Linked DNA regions of Drosophila melanogaster. The protein of the gene in region 1 interacts with the protein of each later gene in a pairwise test. Each region holds a gene or a part of one and is shown in the gene's direction. Other genes may lie near its edges.

Region 1 (3,904 bases):
TCGCGAAATTAAGAATATCTTAGTTTATAAGTAAGTATTTGTTCATGAACAATCGTTCTGCAATAGTTATGCTTATAAAAAAAACTGGGGCACCGGTTGGTAAAAGGCCCAAATATAAACTAGGAATGCGCATTATATTTGGGACTGTTGTCCAACCAACTTTAAAGTACTTGCGAATTAATACTTAAGGTTAATACCATTAATGTCTCTCAAATGTCTTTTGTCTGGTTATCCTAGTCGCTGTTACCCTCCGTCTCGTCGTCCAGCAGCAAGCTTGTCGAACCATAGCTACGGAGTCTGAAATTTAAATCACAAATAGTTATTATATTTACCTAGAATTATACATTGATTAGTAAAACCAATACATGCAGTAAAAGGATTAGTGATGCTAAAACAAATCAAACCAATAATGTGATGAACACAATAACTAACAAAGCATTAGTTTACTCAAGTGATAACAATCGTTTCTGCTCCTCTAATCTCACCTCATCGTCGGACACCTTGAGACCATCTAGATTAATGCTGTTTCTCGCATATCCAGCGCCTGCAGACTGCTCCTTCTCGTACAGCTGTCGGTTTAGCTCATCCTTACTGGAAACGGAGCTGCTGCCTCCATTTGTGGTTCCCTTCAGGGGCAGCGCTAGATTCGCTCGACTGGCACTGCTGCCTGCGCTGCCATAACGTCCGTTTCCGGATCGCTGCCTCTGGTGATGATGATGGTGCTGTCCGTGAGGATTATCGAATTTCTGCTTGGCCCGCTCGAACTCCAGATTCCGTGACTTCGACTCAAATATATTCTCCTCCAGATGCGTGGGCTTGGCATCAAAAAAAGCAGCTGCTGCCGCTGCCGCCGCCGCTGCAGATGCCGCAGCACTACTCTGCTGCTGCTGCAGGAGCGTTCGTTCCGTGTGACTAGATCTCTTTACGGAAGCAGCATGATGCATAGCGGCATCGCTGCCATTGTGGGAGCTCCTCAAACCTGCCTGCGAGTCATCAAAGATCTGGCGAAGATCATTGATATTCGGCAGACAGTCGTTGGGCAGCTCCACGGCAATCTTATTCCTCAATTGCACCCCGCCCATGCCCCGCAGCTGGGGACTGGGAGCACGTCTTTTTCGTTGGGTTAAGCGTGGGTTAGGAGTTAGGTTATTAGTCAAGCCAGCACCAGTTGAAAAGTTAGTGGTTATTAGAGTTAGTCCACAGACTTAGCGGTATGCAAATCTAAATGTTTCTTTCGAACTGATCTTACCTATTCTGGAGGTGCTGAATCTGCACCTGTAATCCTTCCGTCTGACCCACCAGCTCATCGTTGGAACGCTGCAAGCGGCGCACTTGGTTAACGGCCGAATCCAGTTCGTCCTCAGCACCAGCTAACTCCCGCTTCAGCTCCTCCACACGCTGACGCAGACGCTTCACCTGCAGGAAAATAGAGAAAAGTAGTGATGTAGCTACATATGTGGATTCAGATTGGTATATTACATATTTGTTCTGAACGCATAAGATGCATCTGTACCCAAAACTCGAAGCACAAAGAGCAAGGGGGCGTGCCTTCCAGTCTTCAAACACAACTGATAAGCAGACGACCCCCGCCAAGTGGTGATAACGCTTAAAATGGAAAAATATTTCCTTCCACACTCGCTTCACTCTTGGTTTCTATCGTCAAGTGAAATATAAGCGCGATAGTGCGAAAAATTTAGAACCCGCAGATTAAGATCGGGCATAACAACAATATTAAAGCGAGGTAAACAAAGTTGGCGAAGAAGAGCGAAGAGAGCGCGCGAAGAGCGGGCAGCCAAAAGCTCTCGCTGTAGATTTAAGCTTTCTTCAGTCTCTCGCCGAACGTCGAATCGAGCAGCTGTTCCGTGGAGAACCGGCTGATCACTTCCAACAGAAAAGACAGAACCGAATCGGAATTATGATTGCGCAAAGTGTAATCAGCAAACTGCGACCGTGTGCCCGCCGCTTGGCCAGCACGAGCTCCAAAGCCGCAGCTCCCAAATTCAACTGGCAGGATCCGCTGAATTTGGAGAGCCAATTGACCGAGGAAGAGGTGGCCATTCGGGATGCGTTCCGTGGATACTGTCAGGCCGAGCTGCAGCCGCGCGTCAAGATGGCCAATCGCCTGGAGACGTTCGACAAGAAAATTATGGAGGAGATCGGCAGTCTGGGTGTCCTCGGCTGCACCATTAAGGGATACGGCTGCGCCGGAGTCTCTAGCGTTGCCTACGGCTTGCTCACCCGCGAGGTGGAGCGCGTGGACTCCGCTTATCGGTCTGCTGTCAGTGTCCAGAGCTCGCTGGCCATGGGCGCCATCTACGACTTTGGATCCGAGGAGCAGAAGCAACGCTATTTGCCCAGCATGGCGGAGGGCAAGCTGATTGGTGAGTGCCAAATGAATAAAATCATATTTTAATGAAATATTGAGTGAATTATATAAAGTCCCGTAGTTTATATGTGTTCTCTTTAAACGAATCTCAATTTCTTTACATATTTATTCAGGTGCCTTTGGCCTAACTGAACCCAACCACGGTAGTGACCCCGCTGGCATGGAGACCCGTGCCAAGTACGATAGCAAAAGCAAGACATACATCCTGAACGGATCTAAGACGTGGATTACTAGTGCGCCCATCGCAGACGTCATAGTCGTATGGGCAAAATGCGAGGATGGCAAGGTACGCGGCTTCCTGGTGGATCGCAAGATATCCGGCAAGGGTTTGGAGACGCCAAAGATCGAGGGCAAGTTCTCTCTGCGTGCTTCGCCCACGGGTATGATCCTGATGGACGAGGTCCGTGTGCCAGAGGAGCAGTTGCTACCCAATGTGGCCGGCTTTAGTGGACCCTTCAGCTGTCTGAACAACGCTCGCTATGGAATCGCGTGGGGAGCCCTGGGAGCAGCTGAAACCTGCGTGGAGATTGCTCGCCAGTATACACTGGATCGCAAACAATTCGGTCGTCCTTTGGCTGCAAATCAGTTGATCCAAAAGAAGCTGGCCGATGCCATCACAGAGATTGCGTTGGGTCTGCAGGCTTGCCTGCATGTGGGTCGCCTCAAGGATCAGAAGCTGCACACGCCCGACATGATTTCCCTTCTAAAGCGAAACAATACTGGCAAATCGCTTGATATAGCGCGCCAAATGAGGGACATGCTGGGTGCAAACGGAATCAGCGACGAATATCATGTGATCCGCCATGTAATCAACCTGGAGTCAGTTAACACCTATGAGGGCACGCACGATATACACGCGTTGATCCTGGGCCGAGCCATCACCGGACTGGCGGCATTTGCTAACTAATGTACTTGTTTCGAAAATCATAAAGTACTGCATTTACCAATTTGTTTTATGTCGAAGTGTCAATGTGAATAAATGTTAATCAAACCGAATTCGGTTCGGCGAGGAAGGCTGTTACATCTTTAAGTTTTCCTAGGCTGATAAGCTGATACGCGTAATCTGATCCATATATCATCTGATAAGATTTTTGGATGTGGATTTACTCACCTCCGCCTCATACTGCTCGGCTCGCCGCACGGCGTGTCCCAGCTCTGTGTTTGTTTCGGCCAGCAACTTCTTTAGCTTGGCGTGCGACATCTTCACCTCGCTGATCTCCTTGTTGCGCTCCGAAAGTTCCTGCTGCAATGCTCGCAGCTCCACGTCATTAGCTTGCATGGGTCGGCACTTACGGTCCGAACGTTCCTGATAATCTCGCAGTTCTGCGCGCAGTTTCTTGTTGTCACGCTCCATGGCCAATTTCTCGGACTCCAGTCGCTCGCGCTTGCCCCATTCGGAGGCGTTCTCCGCCTGAAGGTGCTCCAGTTCAGTGCGAAGCTCCGTGAGGCTGCAATGAATCGATAGTTACACTCTTGTCAAAGTACAGAATGCGTATTTGCTTACCGGCGCTCGAGATT
Region 2 (4,644 bases), on another chromosome or scaffold:
GGCCATAAAATCTTATAAAAATGTTGGTGGCAAATGTTCGGCTACTAGTTAACTACAATATGTCCGAGTCAACTTGTTATTGACTCTCTGTCTCGGTCCTGGGAGGGCTTTGAAATATGTTGACAATGGCGCCAGCAACAAAAGCTAAATATAAATACCCAATCCACAAAAAAAAAAAAAAAAAAAACAGCCCCCCATTTATGTTCTCAAATTTTCAACCCCGCAAGGCAATTGACTTTTCGATATGCTTCCCTTTTTTTTGGAAGAATCAGCAAAAGTCCTCTAGTTTCTTTTCCATAGTTTTTTGCCCAACATTTCCTGTGGGCCAAATTTTTGGGGGTTGGGGCAGCGCGACAAATCAAAGCGTTACAAAGCTGGAAAATGTGTGGAAAAGTTGCAGTGCAATTTATTATATGCTTTTGATTCTGCAAATCTAGCTGATGTTGTTCTTTCTTTTTTGTTTTGCTCCACGTTGTCGCTAGCACTGCGGAAATGTTAAATATTTGTTATTGCAGTCTAATGTTTCCGCTTTACGAAAGACAACAGACAGGGATTTTTCGAGACTGTGCTATGTTTGTGATCGAAGAGTTGTATACTTCTTGTTTAAAAGTAGTATATATATTACAATTAAATATAGTTAGAAAAAGTTAGTGGAAGATCAGAGCACTTGTAGTGTGTGATAACTGATATAAGCAGCACTAATATACCCCATAAAATTCAATTCAATATAAAAATCTTTTCTGGCAATGAAAACTATTAGCCCCAGTCATAAATCTTTAAGACCAAAGGCGTGGATGTGGAGAAGTGGAAGTGGACCCCAACCAAAAGCCGGGTTCGACTAACCGCACAAGGGACCACAAGAACCGAGCTCCATTTGGCTGCACAGACGACAGTGGCAAAGTCTGGGCCAGACATGGCACAATTATGACAATTTCTGATGCATAACGCTGCATCCATAGAGCTTTTAATGCAATAAACAAGCGACTGGAGCGTCATTAACACTGACAGGAATCGGTAAGGGTAGGGAGTAGGAGGAGTGTAGGGGGGGGGGGGTTGATGCCAAGGAGCATTCCCGGCCTTTTGTCGCTCACTAATTGTCTGGCCTGGCCGAAATGTGCAGCGCATGCATGCAACGCAACGCTCCAATTCAGGTGTGTGTCAGTTGGCCGTTGTCGCCACAAAACACTTTGCCGGCAATTGTCAGCTGGCTTTTGGGTACGTGTTACGAACAGTGATGGGAAATGGAAATACTTTCTCCACGGAGTACAAAATTAAATTAAGATACTAAAGATTACCTTTCCTGAAATTCAATAAAGAAGCAATATAGCAAAGTGGATAAAGTAAGGAGCTCTCGTTTAGAATCTATAACTTCTTCTTTTAATAAGTGAGTTACTATGTTTTTTGTAATTTTTGTACTTGTACCTAGTTTAAGTATTGGTACAAATGCTTTGCTCGAGCCGTACCTGCCAACACTGCCATTGAGTAGTTGTTTTAAGGCCGTTGCAGTTGCAAGTTGCTAGTTGTAGCCAAACTCACTTAGCAGCTGACAATGACAGTCGCCTGCCTCTCTTCTTTCCCGCATCACCAGCAACACCACTATCAGCACCACCACGATTACCACCCACTTCAAGTTCACCTGCGTTAATAGCCGCCTGCCAGGCAAGTGTCTGGGAAAGGCTTTGCCCAGTTGCCTAAACGACATTGTCACTTGCGGTTGGTTGGGCGCATCATCTCCTGCTGCTTCAGCCCCAAACTCCAGTTCGTCGTGCTCGTCCTGTTAGTCCTGATCGTCCTGTTTGCGGCTTCTGCAGTCGAGTTGCCATCGGTTTATGGCAGGTTGAGCACCAGCGACAATGAGCCACGCTGGTGCACCGTGTAGTGATAAACATGCGCGCTTTTCGGCACAAATCAATTAGCAATTGAATTTGGTGAACTCAAAGACGGTGAAAATGTCCGACGGCCAAATGACAAATCAACTCAACGTGCAACAGCAGGAACAACATCCGCTGCTTTCAGCCATCTCAGGAAATAATTATGCGTAAGCCATGGTCAAAGGCATTGGGATGTCGACTGTATTTGCCATACAGCCAAATCAAATTAAATTTGATATAATTAAGAAGTGGCACACTCACTCAGTTCCCTAGAATTATATTGTTAATCTGAACTCGCTTAAGTGCTTTTTATATATTTATCAAGAAGTCCTGCTAAACAACATCGTAAATAATGAATTAATTCTTTTTCAGTCATTGATATATGCAAAACTTAAACGCTTTAACAAACTTCTTTCTTCTATCCTACGTAATATTAATAATCGCTTAAAGGAGCCTTGAAAGAGTTTAGTCAGTTGCAACAGGATAAAGTGTGCTCTTTGGCTTAAAGATTAAGTGCTGGAGTGCCGGAGGCAACTGCAATCGCAAACGACCCCTGGCCCAAAAGACAGCCACTGCGGGCGCGGACTGATACCTCAGGCACTTAGCCGGGCTAATGTGGGACACAAACAGAAGCGGCGTCTCGGCCACACAACCACATGCCCAACCCCCCCCCCCCCCCACTCACTCATCCGCTTGCCCGCTTTCACCACTCACCTTCTAACCTTCTCTTGCAGTCAAACGCAGCGTGTGCATTACTATCCCAACCACTACTACCCGAGCCACTACTTGCCGGGCCATTACCACCAAGGACACCAAGGATACCAGGGGCAGCAGGGACGACCACCGCTCCTGGCGGCCGCCAGCAGCCACAACGGTGCTTATGCGGCCACGGCGGCTGGCAGCGGACACTCCGGCTACGGGTAAGCAAAGAACCACCGCTGCACTGAGAGAAAAGCAATGGGATGAACAAGAAAATTCATTCCAAATATACAAAGAAATTAAACTGTTATGAAAAAATATAAATAACTATTTGAAGATGAATATATACTTAATAATATTGATACTAATGAATACTAAAGTTTCGAACTTATCAACCTAAATTACCTATTTCTTCCTGTGCACTGGCCATCAAAGTCAAACCATAACCCCAATTCCAGTGCAAGTTCCGCATCTAATGCCAGTTTGAATTTTGCAGCGGCATAGAGCCATCCGTGGAGTACGAGCTGCAGCATGACCCACCCTCGGGTAGCTTCTCCTCCTTTCATCCCAGTAGTGCGGGCAGTGGGCCCGCATATCCATCTGCCCACCATCCGCCGGCTGGTCCACCACCGGCTCCTCCGCCCACCAAATCGTCAAAGAAATCGAAGAAGAGCAGCGGTTCGGTGATGAACGCACTAACGCTGCTCTCGTTCTTCTTCTTTGTTAACATGCTGCAGAACTGCCTGAAGGATCATATGGCTGACATGAATCCCACCGTGATGGTGCTCACAGCCAGCGGCACTCGCAATCGTTTCAACAAATTAGCCGAGATGAATTCACGCGAACAGACCTCGACAACGGCCACCGAATCGGTAACGGCATCGGCAGCGGCATCATCTTGGAATCATCAGGCTGCTTTAGTTCCGGCCGTCGAGCCAAGTGTGCCGCCCTCCATTGTTACGCCCACGGTGGTGCTGCAATCGCCCTACAGCCGTCACACGGAGATGGCCAATAAGCCGCCCCAACGCCAGCCAATGGAGTACCAGTCGAACCCTCAGCAAAATCATCACGATTATCGGCCCCACAACGCGAATGATGATGCTTATAATTACGGGCAGCGCCGACCTCCGCCTCAGACCTTCTCCACCTCCGATGGCGGCGATTTCTATCCTAATCGCACACACATCGACCACTCGTCCCGGCCCGACTTTGAATCGGAGTCGGGCTCCGATTACTATCAGCACCACTATAACCCGTATGCTGGCACAAACTCCCATCGGCATCCTTGGTCTTATGGCAGGCAGCGTTACTCATCCGCACCGTGGTCTTCAGCTTCGTTGGGCGCTCAGTCGGGCGTGAGCTCTTACTTGGATAATGCCCAGCGACGGCAAGGTGATGATGACGATGGTCATGGTTATGGCTATGGCTATGGCCACAGGGATAGGGATCGGGATAGGGATAGGGATACGGATGCAGATGGTTTCTGGGATGAGGACGAGAATGGTCAGCAGCGGCGACGCAGCGATGCTTTCTATACTCGCACACGCATTAATTGAATGCAAGAATTCCGCGCACATTTCTATGTTGCATGGCGGGGATTTGCTGCATTAACCCATTGCACAAAAATGGGGTGGCATAATGTGGATGGGCAAAAAAAGATGTGAATGGATTTTTTTTTAGAACAGCTAAAGCAGCGTTTATAGCTTATGGCATTTTACATTCTGTAAATATTATCCACGCTCTTTCGTTGTAGCTTAAAAATACCACATTTAACTTACTTGTATTATTGATTTTCATATAAAGTTATAATACGATATAAGAATTATTTTACATTACCTTTAAAAGTTGTATATCATAATGCACGACCGAGGGTTAAAAATGCTTAGCTTACATGTATTTATAATTAAAAGCAAACAACGTGCATAAGAGCTGACAAAAAATGAATGGAAAAAGGCGATGAGGCGGTGAGGCAGACAGACACACCCGGCAAGTTGGAATCGTAATGAAAATAAATGCTAATTTGTTGCACAACAAATTAAAAGTGCCCCCAGATTTTGCCTGGCGCTTGGCTAAG

Evidence for each region. The genes of interacting proteins can lie anywhere in the genome.
Region 2: the proteins of CG9547 (region 1) and CG13407 interact in a two-hybrid assay, tested with the Drosophila melanogaster proteins (one large-scale study listed by BioGRID).

What each region holds. Positions count from the first base shown.
Region 1 is NT_033779.5:6,492,450-6,496,353, reverse strand, and holds CG9547 (uncharacterized protein), read left to right. Parts: upstream 1-1,821; 5' UTR 1,822-1,915; coding exon 1,916-2,381; intron 2,382-2,499; coding exon 2,500-3,293; 3' UTR 3,294-3,380; downstream 3,381-3,904. Other genes in the region: CG31638 (uncharacterized protein), read right to left, coding at 289-297, 486-1,110, 1,250-1,416, 3,498-3,834, 3,891-3,904.
Region 2 is NT_033777.3:22,101,465-22,106,108, forward strand, and holds CG13407 (uncharacterized protein), read left to right. Parts: upstream 1-1,949; coding exon 1,950-2,038; intron 2,039-2,605; coding exon 2,606-2,791; intron 2,792-3,066; coding exon 3,067-4,126; downstream 4,127-4,644.